Linked DNA regions of Anolis sagrei. The protein of the gene in region 1 purifies or fractionates together with the protein of each later gene. This does not show direct contact. Links are inferred from orthologs where the notes say so. Each region holds a gene or a part of one and is shown in the gene's direction. Other genes may lie near its edges.

What was found.
Region 2: the proteins of PAXIP1 (region 1) and PAGR1 purify together in Homo sapiens (affinity purification with mass spectrometry; 6 studies listed by BioGRID and IntAct, with this or other methods). This does not show direct contact. The link is inferred for Anolis sagrei from reciprocal best matches to the Homo sapiens genes PAXIP1 and PAGR1.

The regions. Positions count from the first base shown.
Region 1 is NC_090026.1:120,425,814-120,436,978, forward strand, and holds the start of PAXIP1 (PAX-interacting protein 1), read left to right. Parts: upstream 1-6,400; 5' UTR 6,401-6,586; coding exon 6,587-6,733; intron 6,734-11,165.
Region 2 is NC_090026.1:17,131,585-17,142,949, reverse strand, and holds the start of PAGR1 (PAXIP1-associated glutamate-rich protein 1), read left to right. Parts: upstream 1-6,414; 5' UTR 6,415-6,695; intron 6,696-11,365. Other genes in the region: kinesin-like protein KIF22, read right to left, coding at 370-518, 640-767, 1,963-2,162. UniProt on the Homo sapiens protein: Its association with the histone methyltransferase MLL2/MLL3 complex is suggesting a role in epigenetic transcriptional activation. However, in association with PAXIP1/PTIP is proposed to function at least in part independently of the MLL2/MLL3 complex.

The DNA.
Region 1 (11,165 bases):
TTGTAGTCCCAAACATCAGGAGGGCCAAAGTTTGCCCATGCCTGGTCTATACTGTAGAATTAACCCAGTTTGGCACCACTTTAACTACAATGGCTAAATGGGATGGAACACTGGGAGATGTAGTTTTACATGTTCTTTAGCCTTCTCTGGTGGAGAATGATGTAGTCTCATCAAACTACAACTCCCAATATTCCATACCACTGAGCCATGGCAGTTAAAGTGGTATCAGAATGCATTAATTCCACAAAGTAGATGCACCCACGATTCCAAGACTGCTCTTAAAGTGTTGGGAGGAAATTGGCACAATTCTCAATTAAACATGTATTATTGTTGTTGTTGTTGTTGTTGTTGTTATTATTATTATTATTAGTAGTAGTAATAACATCGCTTTATTTATATTCCACTCTTTCTCCCCAAGGGAACTCAGAGCTGATTACAACATACACAGATAGGCAAACATTCAGTGCCTTTACAATTCCCAATATTCCATAGCACTGAGTCATGGCAGTTAAAGTGGTATCAACTGCATTAATTCCAGTGTGTAGATGCACCCACTATTCCAAAACTGCTCTTAAAGTGTTGGGAGGAAACTAGCTAAGTTCTCAATTAAACATTTAGTAGTAGTAGTAGTAGTAGTAGTAGTACCACTTTATTTACATTCCAATCAATGTCGAGGGAACTCAGAGCGGATTACAACATACACAGACAGGCAAGCATTCAATGCCTTTAATACAGTGGAATAACAATGACATACAAATACACAGAACAAAGGTAACGGCTTCTCCTTTCATCTCCGGCTTTTGGAGGCAATGCTCCATTCTGGCCATGGGGAGGTGCTCTTTTTCCATTTCCAAGCCAAGGAGCTTGTTGCCCATAGATATCTCCTGGTTGAGTTACCTACAGTGAGTTGCCGGCATGGCTGCATGGGTGCCTCTATTACCTTCCTGCCGAAGCAGTACCTATTGATAAACTCACATTTGTATGCTTTCGAACTGCTAGGTTGGCAGGAGCTAGGGCTAACAAGGGGAGCTCACCCTGATCTGCGGCTTTGAACTGCCAACCTTTAGGTCAGCAGATTCAACAAGGTAAAAGTTAACACTACTGCCATTGACTTCAGGAAGAGGAAATTACAAATTCTGTGCAGAACAAAAAGCTTTTTCCAGTTTGGAAAAATGAATTGCAGAAAGGTTTTTAAGATGTGTAGAAATTTTCAAAGGAGATTTAAATACATATGTATTCAAAAAATGTGAATACAGAAAACTGGGTGCTGCAATAAAAAACCAGCTAAAATACATGGAAGTTTTGATGTTGTCATCTCCCACATCTTTTACTTTTGAGACAAGCAGAAAGCTTATCAGTTACTGAATGAGTCTCGTACAATTTATCACATTATTCAACTAAAGCGTGGGTTTCTTCTACTTTTCAATAGAAGATTGTGACAGCGCAACTGGCGCCACCTATATGTAGAACTGTAAGTTGCAGGATTTGAACTGTTGTATCATGCCTGATTTTGCCTTTTTACCCTGTAAATGTATAGTTGGGTTGATTGGTTATTTATAGCTGTCAATCAATGTTGTTTGCACCAGTTGAATTACTCCTCCTGCTCAATTGTTTGACCCCACCTCTTCCTAGAGAGCAGGACAGTGTTTCCTTTTTCATTCCATCATCAGATTTTCTACCAGATGGACGTGAGTAAGAGACGTGGCTCTAAAAGCCCCTGATTAAGTTACCTCTCAGCACCAATTCTGAGGTTTTTACCCTTGAGACTTATGCTTCATGTTCAGATCAACCTGAATGACGTGGGGAAGTCTCAAGCGCCTTCAAACCAGTTCTTCTGGCACCAGAGGAAGACTTTGTGTCTTCAAACATAGACCATTTGGACTGGGGTTGTGGATTGCTCTGGCATTCACAGCCATTGAGAAAGAGGGACTTGGAAAAGCTTCTCAGCTGCAAAACTCCTTGGACCTAAGACAACCAGAGACTGTAATGTATATTTTCCTTCACCCCTTTGAAACTTCCAGCTTATTGCCTTAAAGAGATAACTCTTTGTGAACAATTAAACCTATTTTGAGTTATCTACAGTGTTTTGGTCTTTGGGAGTTCCAGTTTCCTAAAGGAGAGCAAGAAGCAATCTCCTGGGGAAAGATGTCACGTCCATGCCTCTTTCACTAAGAGTTATAGCCTCCAGGCACGACAGCACAAAGATAATGTAAAGGTTTCCTAGGCAAATTTGTCATAATATTTAGATTCAAAAGAAATGGGTTGCAGCTCAGAGAATAGTAAAAGTTGGTCTTCATGTCTCACTTATTTAAAATATAAGGACTCTTCTTTTTCCTCGCTCATTATAACTCTTGACTTCTATTTGTTGGTTTTTTCTGCCCCTTTTCTTTGTTCTGGTCTTATTAAATATCCATTCCTCCTGATGGAATTAAACTTTGTTCTGAGATCGCTATCATAATTGGCCAAGAAGTGAAGTTTCGGCTCAGATTGACACTTTATTAATGGGATTTTCCTCCATGATTTATACATCCGCAGAGCCCTGACCTGCCTTGGTTAACATCTGATGCTTTAAAGAGGCTTGTCAGGTTGATGGGATTTTAAATATCAAATGGATCTCTTATTTCCCCTGATTTGTCATGCTGAATAAATACTGGGAGACAAAAGGGCTTTATTCCAACACTGGCGTTGGCCTTATCAGGTTAATTTTTAATTTTTTTTTTTTTTGCTCATGCAAAATTATTAGCCACCAGAAAAATTAATATTTAATTTTTTTTTTACAATGGAGAGAAAGCATAACATTGCTTTCAGGCAATTGCATCATGCATTTTGGATTGAGGGTGCTTCTACACTATAGAATTAATGCAGTTTGACACCACTTTAACTGCCATGGCTCAATGCTTTGAGAGCATGGGAGTAATAGTTTTTTAAGGTCTTGCATCTTCTCTGCAAAAGGATGTTGGTTCTTGAAACCACAGCATTGAGACATGGCCATTAAAATTGTGTCAAACTGGGTTAATTCTACAGTGTAGATGTACCTGGGAATTTATTTACTTATTATTATTATTATTATTTGCATGGGCAGACCTATGCCAAACAGGGCAGGCATACTCGGCAGTTGAGTAACACAAGGCTAGGGGTGATGTTCTTACTAATTTTGGGTCTGCACCCCATGTGCTGCCAGTAAGTTTCTGCAAGGTGTTTTTGCGTGCAGCTACTTTGTGCTTGGTGTTCAGGCAGTGTTTCCTATATGCTAGTGTTCAATCTAAGGTGACACCGAGATATTTAGGATGGAAACAATGTTCAAGCTCTTAACCTTCCCAGGTGACTTTCAATTTCCTGTTGGCTTCACGGTTGCGTATATAAATAAATCAATAAATAAATATTATTTATATAATATAGATTATTGCAATGCGCTCTACGTGGGGTTGCCTTTGAAGACAGCCCGGAAGCTTGAAATGGTCCAGCGTGCGGCAGCCAGGTTGTTAACAGGAGCGGAGCGCAGGGAGCATACAACTCCTCTGCTGCATCAGCTCCACTGGCTGCCAGTTTGCTACCGGGCTCAATTCAAAGTGCTGGCTTTAGCCTATGAAGCCCTAAACGGTTCCGGCCCAGCTTATCTATCCAAACGCAACTCTTCCTATGAATCCTCCAGGAACTTGAGATCGTCTGAGGAGGCCCTGCTCTCGATCCCGCCTCCTTCGCAAGTACGTCTGGCGGGGACGAGAGACAGGGCCTTCTCCGTGGTGGCCCCTCGGCTGTGGAACTCCCTACCTAGGGATATTAGATTAGCCCCCTCCCTCCTGACCTTTCCTAAAAGAGTAAAAACTTGGCTCTTCGAGCAAGCATTTGGAACCTCCGAATAAATAGACAAACTTGAATCAGAAAATGACCCAGAAACGGACCAAGACGATGGAACGGATGAGGATTTGAATGACAGGACATATATTTTTTAAATTGTTATCATGCGCTGTCTTTACATTTAAATGCACTATAATGTTTCTTTTTTGCTTATCAATGTATATCTTTTTATGGCATCGAAGTGTCCCGACTGTGTATGCCGCCCTGAGTCACCTTCGGGCTGATATGGGTGGGATAGAAATAATGTAAATAAATAAATAAATAAATAATATTATATAAAATATTATTTAATATTATTAGTAGCATTATATTGTATCACATTAGAATATATATATATATATATATATATATATATATATATGCTGTCGCACGCTGGCCCTGTGCATAAGACTGTAGACAGAACATAAATTCTGTGTGCCCAACGGGACGCCAGGGCTGCCTCAGATTAAAGGCCCTTGGATTTCCTTAAAACAAAGTCTTTAGATTGCTTAAAGGTTCAACAAAGTTCTTTATTAATGAAAACAAACAGGTATTTCAAGGCTTTCTTAACAGTCTATTGGCTCTCTCTCAATCTTGTCCACAGGGAACAGGCACTATCTTCATAACTGTAACTAATGGGGAAATCCTTAACTTCTAATCTGGGCAGTCTGTCTTTGCCTCTGTTGGCATGGAGCCCCTACACCCGGTACCAACTGCTTCTGGCTTCCGCGAGTGACCCTTACCAAGCAGAGCTTTGTAGGCTTCCAGGGTAAAAGAAGGAGTTCAGGTTTCAGTGATGGTTGACTGAAGTCCCTCAGCAAAGGAGCTGTAAGGCTGTACATCTTCCGGCCAAGCTGTGGGGCTGTATATCTCCCCGGCCAAGCTGTAGAAGACAAAGCTTTCTACAGGAGCTCTTGGTATTATGTCCTGCATGGAAAGCTTCTCTGTGTGGACTGAACCCAAACTGGCTCCTTTTCCCTCCAAAAACCCCAAAGGGGGCGGGACCAGGGAACCTAACTATAATTTACAGGTGGCTTGCCCTATGATTGCAGCCAAAAGAAGCCACCTATCTGCAGAGTCCCTGAAACTTAGGACTACCAAACATTAAATGCAAAGCAAACAAAATTGGAGCTCCTGGTGCAGTTGTACCTGCACAATATATATGATATTAGCATTATTATATTGCAATGTTATTGTTTCTATATATTATTATATTGTGCCTATATGTAGTATGTATATTACTGTATTTCTATTAGACAATGGAACAAATTGCAAAAAAAAGTGTATTTTCCTGTTTAATTGTGCAATGGTCACCTTGGAAGTAGCTGTTATATTTCAGAAACTTTCTTTTTTAGGCACAACTATGCTGAATTGGTGGAGACTCTATGTTATGAGGTTGCAAAGCTAGAGCCAAATGTGCTGCAGGATGATGTCTCTCCTGCACAAACAAAGTTTTGGCAGTTTAATAAACTTTCCCCGTGTTTTCATGACAGAACCAATTAGGAGCTGGCATTTATGACCCAGGAACAAAAAGCACAAACACCCTTCCAGACAACCCATAAAATGGGGTCTGTCTGAAATGCGGGGTTTATGATCCCAGGGCCAATTAAGCCCGGAATTGCAGGGACATCCAGCCTTTGAACTGGCCATAAAGCTCACACCTCTGTCTGGCTTGTCTTTTGGGAAACCTCTTAACACCAAACTGCAGCTAGTGCCGCTTTCCCTCCATTTCTACCCCTTTTGTGCGCTTTCCAAAAGATCCTTGGGAGATGTAGTTCGGAAAGACTATCTCCTGCCTTAACAAAAAGACTTTCAGAACTACACTTCCCATAATACCCTTCGAGAGCAATTGACAGCGCAATATCAGCGCTATTCCACCGCCTGGGTGCTTTGGACTTCATTTCCCAGAGTTCCTTGCTGTTGCCCGAGCTGGTTGAGGCCTCTGGGAGTTGGAGTCCAAAACAGACGCGCGAGACGACTCTCCCGAGGCGGGAGATCGTAGGAGGCGGAGCCAAACCATGTGGGCGGGGCCTACGGCTCGGTATCACTACCTAAAGGAGGCGGGATTTGGAAGAGTGCATTATATCTCGAGGGGGGGGTATATCCGAACTTCCCTCATATTCATTTTTGAAAGAAACGCGGGTTCATTTATCAAGCGAGCGGATTATATTACAAAATTAAAATTCTAGTATAGTTTTTCAGTATTATTGAAAAGATAGTAGAGACTGGCTCTTTCTTTTTTAAAATAACTATCTCTCTCCCCCCATCCTTGGAAGAAATGGTTCGCTCCGCAAAAAAAGTAATCAGAGGAGGTGGAGTTGAAAAAAGTGGGCGGGGCTTAGGGCTCGGCCTCACTACCGGTTGTTATTCCTAAAGAGGCGGGAATTGGAAGAGTCCATTTTAACAGGAAGAGGGAGGGAATTAGAAACCCTATCCGCTTTTTTTACAAACTGAGAGATCATTCGTCAAGAAAGTGGATTGTATTAGGAATTATACTTTTTATTATAGTCTGAGAGTGTCCCACCGGAGGTTGTGAAATAGATCAGATTATTTATTTTGAAACTTGTCAGTTTGACTCCCCCCCTTTTTCATCTGATGGTCCGCCCCGCAGCGCGCGCCCTGCTCCCGCGGTTTGGAATGGAATAAGTGCTTGGCGGGGGAGGGGGGCGCGCAAAGAGGGAGAGAGAGAGATCCAGAGCTGCTTTAGAAAGAAGAAGAGCCTAAGAGATTGAAGCAAGTGGACGGAACCATGGCGAAAGAAGAGGGGGAGGGAGAGGAGGAGAAGAAAAATGAAGAGGAGGAAGAGGAGAAGAAGGAGGAGGAGGAAGAGCTGAAGGTTCCCGAGGAGATGTTCAAAGATGTCAAGTTCTTCGTCGTGGGGGACATAGACCCCAAGGTACCTTCGCTTTAATCTCATTTCCCTATCCCACCCCCGTTTGCTTTGACCTCAATGGACTCTTCCACTTGATTCCTTATCTCCCCTCCCCCACGTTCTGCTGCTCTGAGCGCCTCGCGCCTTCTCTCTTTTCGACGGTTCCATTGTCCTTTTTAAAGGGGGGGGGGGAGAAGAAGGAGACACGAATAAGCTTTTAGCTCAACTGACTTGTGTATGTTTTATTATTATTCATTTTAACTGGTGTACTCGTCTTTCATTCGGACGAGCCGAGATACAGAACAAGAGGCGAAACATGACAAGTGTGACGGGGGAAAAGGCACGATGGGTTCCCCCTCTGCTCTGATTGGGTTGACAAGGCAGGTTTCGTCCCCTTTCAGGCGCCCCGCGCATGCGCAGTTCGCTTCCCTGCTGGTGGCTCTTCAGCAGTAGGCCTCTCTGCTTTTTCCTAGCAATGCAATGGAAGCCAATCCCTCACCTGGGATTGGTCACACGGGTAGCCAATGCTGAGATAATAGAGTTCCTCAGGTTCTAGTTTGCATTCATTATACTGTACAGTACAGATCATGAAGATCATGAAGTTCAACCAATGCTGAGATAGTGTTTCTGCAAACACTTAGAAACAAATGCGGTCATTGCTAATAGTCAGCTTACGAAAGCTGACTGGCACAACCTGGGGATCACAACCAGACACAGTGAAGACATCTGCCCTTGCGCTATGCTACTCTGCTGCTGAGTATGCATGCCCAGTATGGAACACATCTCATCACACTAAAACAGTGGTTGTTGTTCATTCGTTCAGTCGTCTCCGACTCTTCGTGACCTCATGGACCAGCCTACGCCAGAGCTCCCTGTCGGCCGTTACCACCCCCAGCTCCCTCAAGGTCAGTCCAGTCACTTCAAGGATGCCATCCATCCATCTTGCCCTTGGTCGGCCCCTCTTCCTTTTGCCTTCCACTTTCCCCAGCATAATTGTCTTCTCTAGGCTTTCCTGTCTCCTCATGATGTGGCCAAAGTACTTCAACTTTGTCTCTAGTATCTTTCCCTCCAGTGAGCAGTCGGGCTTTATTTCCTGGAGGATGGACTGGTTGGATCTTCTCGCAGTCCAAGGCACTCTCAGCACTTTCCTCCAACACCACAGCTCAAAAGCATCGATCTTCCTTCGCTCCGCCTTCCCTAAGGTCCAGCTCTCACATCCATAGGTGACTACAGGGAATACCATGGCTTTGACTAGGCGGATCTTTGTTGCCAGTCTGATGTCTCTACTCTTCACTATTTTATCGAGACTGGACATTGCTCTCCTCCCAAGAAGTAAGCGTCTTCTGATTTCCTGGCCACAGTCTGCATCTGCAGTAATCTTTGCACCTAGAAATACAAAGTCTGTCACGGCCTCCACGGTTTCTCCCTCTATTTTCCAGTTGTCAATCATTCTTGTTGCCATAATCTTGGTTTTTTTGACGTTTAGCTGCAACCCGGCTTTTGCGCTTTCTTCTTTCACCTTGATTAGAAGGCTCCTCAGCTCCTCCTCGCTTTCGGCCATCAGAGTGGTGTCATCTGCATATCTGAGGTTGTTAATGTTTCTTCCAGCAATTTTCACCCCAGCTTTGCATTCATCCAGCCCCGCACATCGCATGATGTGTTCTGCATACAAGTTAAAAAGGTTGGGTGAGAGGATGCAGCCTTGCCGTACGCCTTTCCCAATCTTGAACCAGTCTGTTGTTCCGTGGTCAGTTCTGACTGTTGCTACTTGGTCCTTGTACAGATTCCTCAGGAGAGAGACAAGGTGGCTTGGGATGCCCATCCCACCAAGAACTTGCCACAATTTATTATGATCCACACAGTCAAAGGCTTTAGAATAGTCAATGAAGCAGAAGTAGATGTTTTTCTGAAACTCCCTGCCTTTCTCCATTATCCAGCGGATATTGGTAATCTGGTCTCTCGTTCCTCTGCCTTTTCTAAACCCAGCTTGAACATCTGGCAACTCTCGCTCCATGTATTGCTGGAGTCTTCCTTGCAGGATCTTGAGCATTACCTTACTGGCATGAGAAATAAGGGCCACTGTACGGAAGTTTGAGCAGTCTTTCGCATTTCCCTTTTTTGGTATGGGGATATAAGTTGATTTTTTCCAGTCTGATGGCCATTCTTGTGTTTTCCATATTTGCTGGCAAATGGCATGCATCACCTTGACAGCATCATCTTTTAAGATTTTAAACAGTTCAGCTGGGATCCCATCATCTCCTGCTGCCTTGTTGTTAGCAATGCTTCTTAAGGCCCATTCAACCTCACTCCTCAGGATGTCTGGTTCTAATTCATTCACCACACCGTCAAAGCTATCCTCGATATTGTTATCCTTCCTATACAGATCTTCTGTATAGTCTCGCCACCTTCTCTTGATCTCTTCAGCTTCTGTTAGGTCCCTGCCATCTTTGTTTCTTATCATACCAATTTTTGCCTGAAATTTACCTCCAATGTTTCTAATTTTCTGGAAGAGGTCTCTTGTCCTTCCTATTCTGTTGTCTTCTTCCACTTCCATGCATTGCTTGTTTAAAAATAGTTCCTTCTCTCTTCTGGCTAACCTCTGGAATTGCGCATTTAACTGGGCATATCTCCCCTTACTATCCGTGTTTCCTTTTGCTTTCCTCCTTTCTTGGACTACTTCCAGTGTCTCAGCAGACAACCATTTTGCCTTCTTGGTTTTCTTTTTCTTTGGGACGTACTTTGTTGCCGCCTCCTGAACAATGTCGCGGACTTCTGTCCATAGTTCTTCTGGGACTCTGTTTACTAAATCTAGTCCTTCAAATCTGTTCTTCACTTCCACTGTATATTCGCTAGGAATGTTAGTGAGATCATATCTAACTGGTCTGTGTATTTTCCCTGATCTCTTTAGTTTTATTCTAAATTGGGCAATAAGAAGTTCGTGATCTGAGCTACAGTCAGCCCCAGGTCTTGTTTTCACCGACTGGATGGATGTCCGCCACCTTTGGCTGCAAAGGATGTAGTCAATCTGATTTCGGTGTTGACCATCTGGTGAGGTCCATGTATAAAGCCGTCTTTTAGGTTGTTGGAAGAGAGTATTCGTTATACACAGCGAGTTTTCCTGGCAGAATTCTATCAGCCTGCGTCCCGCTTCATTTTGTTCTCCCAGACCATGCTTGCCTGTGATCCCAGTTGTCATTTGACTTCCCACCTTGGCATTCCAGTCTCCTGTAATGAAAATAATGTCTCTTTTTGGTGTATTATCCAGTAGGTCCTGCAGATCCTCATAGAACTGATCTACTTCTGCTTCTTCAGCAGCTGTGGTTGGGGCATATATTTGGATCACTGTGATGTTGAAAGGCTTTCCTTGCACTCGAATTGAGATCATTCTGTCATTTTTTGGGTTGTATCCAAGCACCGCTTTAGCGAATTTCTTATTAATTATGAAGGCTACTCCATTTCTTCGATGTTCCTCTTGTCCGCAGTAGTAGATCTGGTGGTCATCTGATGTGAAGTGGCCCATTCCAGTCCATTTCAGTTCGCTGACCCCCAGAATGTCTATCTTTAGTCTTGACATCTCACCAATAACAACATCCAATTTGCCCTGGCTCATAGATCTTACATTCCAGGTTCCTATGGTGTGTTGATCTTTAGAGCATCGGATTCGTCGTTCCCCTCCAGTACCGTCGGCCGCTAGCCTTCCTTTCGGCTTTGAGCTAGCTGCGTCATCACATCTGGGGCTAGTTGAACTTATCCTCTGCTCCTCCCCAGTAGCATTTTGGCCATCTTCCGACCTGGGAGTCCCATCTTCCAATGGCATACCGACATATCTCTGGTTGTACTGGTCCATTTAGTTTTCTTGGCAAGGATACTGGAGTGGTTTGCCATTGCCTTCCCCAGGGATCACGCTTGGTCTGACCTCTCTGCTACAACCGTCCCGTCTTGGGTGGCCCTTCACGGTTTCGCTCATGACATCATTGAGGTGCTCAAGCTCCAGCGCCCCGACAAGGCGGTGATCCTTTGCTGGAAAACAGTGGATGTGGCTCTTAATGAGACATGCCGCATTATCATGGGGTGTCTGCGCCCCACACCACTGGAGAAATTACACTGTCTAGCCAGTATTGCACCACCTGACATCCGCCGGGAAGTAGCAGCCAATAGTGAAAGGACCAAGGCAGAGACATCTCCAGCTCATCCCCAGTTTGGGTATCAGCCAGCACGTCAACGACTTAAATCAAGACATAGTTTTCTTAAGATCTACAGAGACACTCACTGGAACACCCCAGCAAGCGAGAGTCCAAAAGTGGCAGGCCCAAACCCAACACCTCAATTCATGGGTGATACCAGATGAGAGACTCCCCCCTGGGCACTCAGAAGACTGGGCGACTTGGAAGGCACTGAACAGACTGCGCTCTGGCACCACGAGATGCAGAGCCAATCTTAAGAAACGGGGCTACAG
Region 2 (11,365 bases), about 100 Mb from region 1:
TGTTTCCTTTAGCCTTTCCAGAAATGTGGGCACTTGCGAAACCTCATCCTCTGATTCTAATTCCCCCTCTAATTCCTGAACACTTTCCTGCTCCCCTTCTTCTGAAGATGAGGAATCCCTAACAGCTACCAGCAAATGGCACAAGAAGAGAGGAAACATGAAGGAAAGTACAAAACCATAACTAGTATCCATTACTAAAACCTGCTAGATAGTACTTATTTCAACATGTCTGGCTCTTGGGTTCTACTGATTTCAAATACAGCCATGTTCTAAGCCACCTTCTCCCTTAAAGCTTTCATATTCCTAACCACCAGTGAATTTATTAACTTCAATTTGTCCTTCCAATGCAGTTTGTCAGTCATCACTTACCTTCTCTTGGTATATCTCAAGATAGGACATAGAAACAGAATATTTCCTCCCATCCACTGAGGCATCTCTTGTCATCTGCAAGACATCCCGAAGAGCTCGTGGTATCATTCCTGGTTGGTCTGGATTTCCCAACATAGTATGTGTCTTGCCTACCGAGGAGAAAGAGAATGGTAAGATAGAAGAAAAACAATAAAAAAAAACTTCCCCATGGCCAACTACAAGCCCCAGCCCATTTGGGCTCGTTTCACCTCTGTGGCATTTCATATTTACCTGCTCCAGTGGGGCCATAAGCCAGAATGCTGGCATTTTGCCCCTCCAGCAAATGGCGCAAGATAGGCTGAACTGACCCCATGTAGATGTCATGTTGAGTGGCTGATTCTCCATAAAAAGCATCAAACCTTTGGGGGAGAGAAAAGTATATTTTGGGTTGAACTTGTGACTTATTTTCAGCCACTATTCAGGTTTTTTTAGAGATTGTGGAGGAAAGCACACTATGTTTTGAAACCTGCTAGAAGAAAAAATGTAACAAAACCTCCAAAATCTCAATGGAATTCAAGGGGCTTTAGAGATAGTACATCGAGGCCCTATGGTCTTTGGCTGCACCTTCCACAATCCTAAGCTCTAGAGCAGTGGATCCCAACCTTTGGTCCTCCAGGTGTTTTGAACCTCAGCTCCCATAATTCCTAACAGCTTGTAAACTGGCTGAGATTTCTGGGGACCTGAAGTCCAAAACAACTGGAGAACACAAGGTTGAGACCACTGCTTTTGTTCATTAGAAATAAATGCGGGGGATCTCAATATAGTTATTTTTTGCACCCATGAGCGGCATGTAGAACAGTATCGAGTAGAGGACTTTTAGCACCTTCCATGTGAAACACAAACTGTAGACTCTCGCCAGTTGGCTCCTGGGAACCAAAATGTTGCAAGGATACACAATCCATACTGACAATATGTCCTACTGCCAGACAGACACAGAAGCTAGACTGTGCATGTAGTCCTGTCTGTAATGTGAAATCAATGGAGAAAATTATATTTTTAATGATAAAACGTAAATGTTTTGCATGTTTAAATTGTGAAACTACCATGTTTCATCAATATTTTTGTCATTTTACCAAATACAGCACATACCTGTGAGATGAAATTTAGGATTCTCCCTTGACCTTCACATTTCAAAGGTGCTCCATGACTAAAAATGTTTGAGAACCCCTGTTCCAGAGCAATGGGTTGCCTAGCTTTATGGCTTTCACCTGATCTCCAGAAAAGTCATTACCATGCTTTTGGCCACTACAGCTGCTTTTTCCTGAGCCAATGGTTGGGAAGTCTTGCAAACACTTGCAAGACTTCCCAGCTATCACATACCTCATTTTCTTGTGCAAGCAAAGAAAGATGGAAATGATAAATGAGCTGTACAGTTCCTAAGGTAAGGTTTTAATTCACTGGAGTTCTTGGGAATGAGAGCAGGGAGAAGGTGAGACTATTTTGCCAATATCTTGGCAATGCCAATATTATGGAACCTGTCTCAATCCAAAGCGAGTTCCCCCATGTCCACCAAAACATGACAGACTCAGATCAAGAAATCTCTGTCCACCTTACTTGTATTTCATTGTCTCCATCTCGTTCCTCCAGTTAAGGATCTCCAAGGAATGGGAGTCCACACCACGGACACATGGGGCATCTTGACCCTGTCCAGTTCCCACTGCCGGGCGCAATCGCACACACACTCGTACTCTATGTGGTGCATTGGCAGAGTCTCGGTGGACGGTAGTCCGTCTTAATTGCTGATGAGTTGTCATGAACACCTATAAGTAAAACAAAAGTACTTGAAAGAGCAAGGAGACTGACATCAGCCTGGATACATTCCAATAAATATCATAATTCTTGCTCCCCCCCCTCCCAAATCATTTGACACAGGGCGAATAATGCATGCAGATCTGAGTAGGGTGGCCTTTTGCAGCTGACAGATGGTAATTTTGTCAGCCTTATTATCCTGGGTGATGACCGAGCCAGTATAGACTTCTTTAGAGTTTGTTTCACTATATGTAAATTGGTTGGGTGCACTTAGCCCTGCTTCTCAGTTGAGACCACTCTGGCTTGGTTGAATCTACTGGTAATTTGCACTACTGCCAGCACAGTTCTCAACCTCAAAGAAGCAGTTAAGCCCCCTGCCAATAACAAGGCGGCATGGGCTTCCAATTTCTATTATCCTTATCGTCTGCCTATTAGGGAATTCTCCCAAAAATAACAGAGCATCCAAAACAACAAACTTAACTGAGAAGTCAGCTCACAGCAAGCAGAAAGATGAACTGTTGTGAGGCTAAAAACTATTTTGAGATTAGCAGGCAAAGAGGCAGAGTTCAATTTTTACCCAAAAGGTGTATTTACATCAGGGATCCTCAAACAAAGGCCCGAGGGCCGAATATAGCCCTCCAAGGTCATTTACCTGTCCCTTGCTCAGGGTTGGCCTAAGTCTGAAATGACTTGAAAGCACACAACAACAATCCTATCTCATCAGCCAAATCAGGCCCACACCTCCCATTGAAATACTAATAAGTTTATATTTGTTAAAATTGTTCATTTTAATTATTGTATTGTTTTAAGTGTTTTTTTACACTACAAATAAGATATGCGCAGTGTGCATAGGAATTCATTCATGTTTTTTTCAAATTATAATCCAGCCCTTGAACTATTTGAGGGACTGTAACCTGGCCTTGATTTTAAAAAGTTTGAGGGCCCCTGATTTACATATAAGAACAACATTTCTTGATAGGAAAGAATTGGATCTAAACAAGTTCCACCTTATCTCCTGCATATGTCATCAGCTGGGGACCTCTCCTCCCAGCACCAACTGCTGCTCTGGGCCAGAGTGAAAGGGGGGGCAGAGGATAGTTCCATCTTGTCTCCTACATATGTCATCAGTTGGGGACCCCTCCCCCTGTACCAACTGCTGCTCTGGGCCAGAGTGAAGTGAGAGGGGGCAGAAGACAGTTCCACCTTCTCTCCTGTGCTATTCTAATAATATAATGTAATGCAATATAATACTAATAATATATTATTAGAATTATATATTTATACTAAATGACTCTTGGGGGTCCCTTTGAACTCTAGGAGTCTATTATTATTATTATTATTATTATTATTATTATTATTATTACTAGCTGTCCCCTGCCACGCATTGCTGTGGCTCAGTCTGTGTATATGTGCTTTGTGTGTGTGTATATATTTGTGTAATAATAATAATAATAATAATACTTTATTTGTACCCCGCTACCATCTCCCCAAGGGACTCAGTGTGGCTTACATGAGGCCAAGCCCACAGCACATCAATAAACAAAAGCAATAACAAATAATCAATACAAACAGTTGAAATAAAACTCAAAAACAAAAAAACACACAATAAGCAATTGTGTATATATGTGTGTTTGTGTATATATGTGGTTTTGTGCATGAATTGAAATGTATTTTTTTATTTTGTTGGCTTTTTAAGTCTCTTCTGCTGTGTTTTTTTTTTAGTGTTTTTATGCGTGATGGTCACTCGTTGGCCTGAGAGATGTATTGTGTCCAAAATTGGTGTCAATTCGTCCAGTGGTTTTTGAGTTATTATTATTATTATTATTATTATTATTATTAACTTTATTTGTACCCCGCTAGCATCTCCCGGAGGACTCGATGCGGCTTACACAGGCCGAAGCCTCAAAACACAATACAATAGAGAATGTAACATCACAACAACAAAGCAAATCAAACAATAAGCAAAATAACATAACACTAGGCAATACTAAGCAATACTAAGCAAATCAAACAATAAGCAAAATAACAACAGTGGCAGTACATCAAGACATTATTAAAAACTGGATCGGCCGGCGCACTGTTATGTAAAAAAGTTATGTTAATCCCACAAACGAACAGAGCATTTTTATTTATATAGATTACATGTAATCTTACTAAAAATATTCCAATATAATGGTATAGTACAATATAGTAATATTGAATACTGATATTGTACTATGCTAATAATATAATATATTGTATGTATATATATCTTGTAAGCCGCTCTGAGTCCCCTTCGGAGTGAGAAGGGTGGCATATAAATGTTGTAAATAAATAAATCGTCAACGACTTAAATCTAGAAATAGTTTTCTAAGTTCTACAGAGACACTCACTGGAACACCTCAGCAAGTGAGAGTCCAAAAGTGGCAGGCTCAAACCCAGAACCTCAACCAATGGCTGACACCAAATGAGAGACTCCCCCCTGGGAACACAGAAAACTGGGCGACTTGGAAGGCACTGAACAGACTGCGCCCTGGCACCACAAGATGCAGAGCCAACCTCAAGAAATGGGGCTACAGGGTGGAATCCACGACATGCGAGTGTGGAGGAGAGCAAACTACAGACCACCTGCTGCAATGCAACCTGAGCCCTGCCACATGCACAATGGAGGACCTTCTTGCAGCAACACCAGAAGCACTCCAAGTGGCCAGATACTGATCAAAGGAGATTGAATCAACTATCAAACTCACAAATTTTGTATTTTGTCTGTTTGTTTGCTTTGTTCTGTTAGAAATGTAATATAATTGACTGGTTGCCCTGACACGACAAATATTTATTATTTATTATTATTTATTTACCTTACTTATATACCGCTGTTCTCAGCCCGAAGGCGACTCACAGCGGTTCACAACAAATACAAACAGCGAAAATTCAGTGCTACAGTATAGAAACAGTAACAACCTAACACATTACACAATTAATAAACAGTTACTACAATACCCATTCACTGTCGTCTCGTCATCAAAAACATGTTCCAGATTCGTCATCCATTGTTCCATTCCAGTGTTCATTAACCAATCATTGCACTAATTATTCGAACACCTGCTCAAACAGCCAGGTCTTCACTTTTTTTGCGGAATACCATTAGAGATGGTGCTAGTCTAATGTCTGTAGGAAGGGCGTTCCACAGCCGAGGAGCCACCACCGAGAAGGCCCTATCTCTCGTCCCCGCCAGCCATGATTGAGAAGCAGGCCCTGCTCTCGATCCCGCCTGCTTCTCAAGCATGGCTGGCGGGGACGAGAGATAGGGCCTTCTCGGTGGTGGCTCCTCGGCTATGGAACGCCCTTCCTACGGACATTAGACTAGTACCATCTCTAATGGTATTCCGCAAAAAAGTGAAGACCTGGTGGGTTCATAGGCAGAGATGCGGTTGGATAGGTAGCTTGGGCCGGGACCGTTTAGGGCTTTATTTATCTTGTCAGCTGCTCTGAGTCCCCTTTGGGGTGAGAAGGGCGGCATATAAATGTTGTAAATAAATACATTTCTCTAGAACTCCATAACTTCTAATTTCCAAAACACATCTCTCCAAACACATCTCTTCAAACATACAAAGTAGAGAGAGTCTGAGTGCAAAGATGAAATGCAGAAGACTTCAGCAAAGGCATGCAACCTGAAGAGTATCAATTCTACACCACCAATCAGGATGGGAGCAGAAAAAGATAGAGAGAGAACAGAAAGATACAATCCAACTGCCTTTCAGGAGTCAGGGGGGAAGCCTATTCTAAAACTAACTGTTCCTCATTGAGGACTGCAGACTTGGGCAGTGTGGGGGTTGAATTCCAACACTGCCAATCAGGAGAAAGGCCTACCCGCCTCCTCTCTCCCACTCAGAAGGAAATACCTGTGATTCCAAACAAAACAGATGGCGCAGGAAGATCCTCTCACAATAGATAGGCCGCACTGTTCCCTCTTTAACTCTGAGCCGATTCCTTCCTTACACAAAAATGGATTCAGGAAATCGTTTGGAATTCGCGCTAGTCCCGCCCTAAAGAAAAAACCGGCCAATGGGAGGAAGGCACGGGAAACAGCCGTTAGCCAACACGCCTGCGCAGTGTGAAGACAGAGCACGGAGGGAAGTACCGCGCACGCGCACTACTTCCGAAGGCTCTTCCGAGGCACTGTATACGAAATGTTGTGGAGGAGTGGTTCACAAGACGGATAGCGCATGCGCAGAAGGAAAGAAGCGAGTCGTGCGTGTTTCAAATCTAGCGCATGCGCCATCGCGAAGGAGGGTCGGCTCTTGAGTTCGATTGGGTTCTCTCGTCGAGAAGGAGCCATCGATTGTTTCGGGGCTCGGCTTTTGTGGGCTGGATGGTTGGTTGTTTGGAAGCAAGGGATCTGTGATGCCCAAGTAGACTCTGATCATGTGCAGAGTGCTTCTAAAGAAACCCTAAAAGGACAGAAGGGATGCAGCCGTGTTAAGCAATTAAGCCTTCCCAGGGGTTGATTTCAGACAGGAAAGTAACTTCCACAACACAGTGAAGTGGCTCACTCCCAGGTAAGTGTGGCTGCCAGTAGAGATGTCCTGATGGTTTCCATTGAAGCAGGTGTGTTTCAGTTACCTGGATTGTGCTCAGAATTAAGCTTTCATAGAATCCTAGAGTTGGAAGGGACCTCATGGGCCATCCAGTCCAACTCCCTGCCAAAAAGCAGGAATATTGCATTCAAATCACCCCTGACAGATGGCCATCCAGCCTCTGTTTAAAAGCCTCCAAAGAAGGAGCCTCCACCACACTCCGGGGCAGAGAGTTCCACTGCTGAACAGCTCTCACAGTCAGGAAGTTCTTCCTCATGTTCAGATGGAATCTCCTTTCTTGTAGTTTGAAGCCATTGTTGCACTGTGCCGTAGTCTCCAGAAAACAAGCTTACTCCCTCCTCTCTATGACTTCCTCTCACATATTTATACATGGCTATCATGTCTCCTCTCAGCCTTCTCTTTTTCAGGCTAAACATGCCCAGCTTCTTAAGCCGCTCCTCATAGGGCTTGTTCTCCAGACCCTTGATCATTTTAGTCGCCCTCCTCTGGACACATTCCAGCTTGTCAATATCTCTCTTGAATTGTGGTGCCCAGAATTGGACACAATATTCCAGGTGTGGTCTAACCAAAGCAGAATAGAGGGGTAGCATTACTTCCTTAGATCTAGACACTATGCTCCTATTGATGCAGGCCAAAATCCCATTGGCTTTTTTTGCTGCCACATCACATTGCTGGCTCATGTTTAACTTGTTGTCCACGAGGACTCCAAGATCTTTTTCACACGTACTGCTCTTGAGCCAGGCATTGTCCCCCATTCTGTATCTTTGCATTTCGTTTTTTCTGCCAAAGTGGAGTATCTTGCATTTGTCCCTGTTGAACTTCGTTTTGTTAGTTTTGGCCAATCATCTCTCTAATCTGTCAAGATCGTTTTGAATCCTGCTCCTGTCCTCTGGAGTATTGGCTATCCCTCCCAATTTGGTGTCATCTGCAAACTTGATGATCATGCCTTCTAACCCTTCATTTAAGTCATTAATAGAGACGTTGAACGGGACCGGGCCCAGGATGGAACCCTGCGGCATTCCACTCTTCACTTCCTTCCAATTACATTGGAAATTACATTTCCAATTACTTTCTTTGGAATTACACTTTTGGGATGAAGAATCAATATTGTGTTTTTAAAAGGGAAGCCATGAGTATCTGCCTCTCAAGATAGTTCTGGTACTGCCAAAACCCTTTTAAACTGGGTTGTTGTAGGTTTTTTCGGGCTATATGGCCATGTTCTAGAGGCATTCTCTCCTGACGTTTCGCCTGCATCTATGGCAAGCATCCTCAGAGGTAGTGAGGTCTGTTGGAACTAGGAAAAAGGGTTTATATATCTGTGGAATGACCAGGGTGAGACAAAGGACTCTTGTCTGCTGGAGCTAGGTATGAATGTTTCAACTGACTACCTTGATTAGCATTTGTTTGCCTGGCAGTGCCTGGAGCAATCGTTTGTTGAGAGGTGATTAGATGTCCTTGTTTGTTTTAAATTCTTTTAAATTCTTGGTTTGTGTACATTTCGCTCCCAGTATCCACAGATGTAGTTATCCACATCTTGAACATTTTTTTAAACCTCAAAAAAGGAAAACCTTCAAGTTGCCAATAAATTTATGGCAGCCCTTTGACTACGTCTACACAGCCATATAATCCAGCTTCTGAATCCTGATAATAATAATAATCTTTATTTATACCCTGCCGCCACCTCCCCAATGGGGACTCGGGGCGGCTTACATGAGGCCAAGCCCAAACAACAAATGACAGCAAAATAAAACCAAAATGAAATAAATAAACAACACCATAATTACATAAAACATAATAATGCATAACAATATAAAATTACAGTAAATATAATCACAGTGACAATGGGCAGGCTACATGTAATGATTAAAAGAAGAGCTAATTAAAAACTGATTAAAAACTCAGGTGAGATAAAGGAGAAACAGGTTATTTGCGGAGGGGGGCTCATTAAAATAAGGGGAGGGGCGATGTAAACTCCAGTGACAAAACTTTGAGGCTAAGCAATAGTGAGAGGTTGTATTGCTTCGAGCTGGATTATGTGGCAGTGTAGACTCCTGTGATCCTCTTCAAATCAGGATATGTGTTGTCGAAGGTTTTCATGGCCGGAATCACTGGGTTGTTGTGAGTTTTCCAGGCTGTATGGCCATGTTCCAGAAGCATTCTCTCCTGACGTTTCACCCACATCTATGGGAGGCATCCTCAGAGGTGGTGCACTGGATTAAACCCTTGGGCTGGCAGGACTGAAGACCGTAATGTTGGGAGGTTCCAATTTGGGGAGAGCGAGGATGAGCTCCCTCTGTCAGCTCCAGCTCCCTATGCGGGGGCATTAGAGAAGCTTCTCCCAAGGATGGTAAAACATCAAAACATCTGGGTGTCCCCAGGGCAATATCCTTGCAGACGACCAATTCTCTCACCCCAGAAGCGACTTACTGTTTCTCAAGTCACTCCTGACACAGAAAAAAAATCCTCAGAGGTTATGAGGAATATTAGAAACTAAGCAAGGGAGGTTTAAATATCTGTGGAAGGTCCAGAGTGGGAGAAAAAACATTTGTCTGTTGGAGGCAAATGTGACTGTTGCACTTAATCACCTTGATTAGCATTACTTTGCTTTGCAACAGACAAGAATTCTTTCTCCCACCCTGGACATTATTCCACAGATATATAAACCTCCATTGCTTAGTTTCCAATATACCTCACAACCTCTGAGGATGCCTGCCATAGATGTGGGCAAAACATCAGAAGAGAATGCTTCTGGAACATAGCCATACAGGCCGGAAAACTCACAACAACCTATAAGTCAGGATGAACTGGATTCAGAAACTGGATTATATGGCAGTGTACATCCAGCCTGTGGCGCTCTTAAGATTTTCTCAGGCAAGGGATACTCAGAGGTGGCTTTGGCTGTTCCTTCCTCTGGATATATAGTATTCAGCAGCCCCTCAATAGAGAAGACTAATACAAACAGTCTCAATAGTATCTGTGGAATCATGGAAATCTTAAGAACCTCTGGCAGTTTTGTGGAACTAAATAATACAGTCAGACTTCCACATGTACTGGGGTGAGGGGCAAGGGACACTCGCAAAACTGAAAAACTGTGAATAATAAAATTGCTGTTTTTAAACCCAACGAATCTCTTGGTCCTCCAACAAGGTCAAATTTAAGACAGATTATACTGCAGGACCTACAGATTCCTAGAATGTCAGTTCTCTAAATCAGAGCTTCTTAAACTTTTTCCATGCACTATCCCTTTTCACCTGATCCCCCCCCCCCCCCCCCGATAAGTATATAAAATAGCATTTACTGGTATTTATTTGTCGTGTCAGGGCAACCAGTCAATTATATTACATTTCTAACAGAACAAAACAAACAAACAGACAAAATACAAAGTTTGTGAGTTTGGTAGTTGATTAAATGTCCTTTGACCAGTATCTGGCCACTTGGAGTGCTTCTGGTGTTGCTGCAAGAAGGTCCTCCCTTGTGCATGTGGCAGGGCTCAGGTTGCATTGCAGCAGGTGGTCAGTGGTTTGCTCTTCTCCACACTCGCATGTCAAGGATTCCACTTTGTAGCCCCATTTCTGAAGGTTGGCTCTGCATCTCGTGGTGCCAGAGCGCAGTCTGTTCAGCGCCTTCCAAGTCGCCCAGTCTTCTGTGTGCCCAGGGGGGAGTCTCTCATTTGGTATCAGCCATTGGTTGAGGTTCTGGGTATGAGCCTGCCACTTTTGGACTCTCGCTTGCTGAGGTGTTCCAGCGAGTGTCTCTGTAGATCTTAGAAAACTATTTCTAGATTTAAGTCGTTGACGTGCTGGCTGATACCCAAACAGGGGATGAGCTGGAGATGTCTCTGCCTTGGTCCTTTAACTATTGGCTGCTACTTCCCGGCGGATGTCAGATGGTGCTAAGCAGTATTTACTGGTGATAAATCAGCATTTGCAAGTCTTGCTGAACAGTCTGATTTTTCTTTCTGTGGTGTACAGCTGAAGCATTTTCTGCAGACACCACTGTAAACATCGCATGTTGCTACGAACAGATTTGTGTAAATAGGTGGCATTCAGAAACCTTTTATGGTTGCCAAATTTTTGTGACCCCAGTATTGAGCCAAGGGGAACTCTTTCGAGGTTGGAACTCCAAAATAGTTTAAGAAGCTATGTTGGAGTCCCAAATAAATTTTCTGAACACCACCTAGTGGTTGTTTTGGGCATTTACATGAATCTCTTGCACAATGTTTACAGTGGACTCCACAGAAAATCCTTCAGCTGTACTTCATAAAAAGAAAGATCGGCTTTGCAAATGCTGATTTCTTACCAGAAAAGGTTTGGTTTTTATACCTATTTTATATACTCATGTACCCAGGATAACATAAAAAGTTCTCAAGTCAAAAGGGGTCCAACGAATAAATAGGGCTGACTGTACTCATGACTTCCGCATCCTGTTGTTTCCCCAGGAAGCAGAGAGTGGAATATATTCTTGAATGAAAAATGGCGGCAATTTTCTTCTTCATTTTTAGTATTGGTACCAATGTGTGTGCATGGTCAAGTCCCATTATATACAGTGGCACACTGGATATGGCTAGCTGACTGTAAATTCTTCAATTGTATTTCTTCAATTGTAAGATCATTGATTGTAGGAAGCACTCT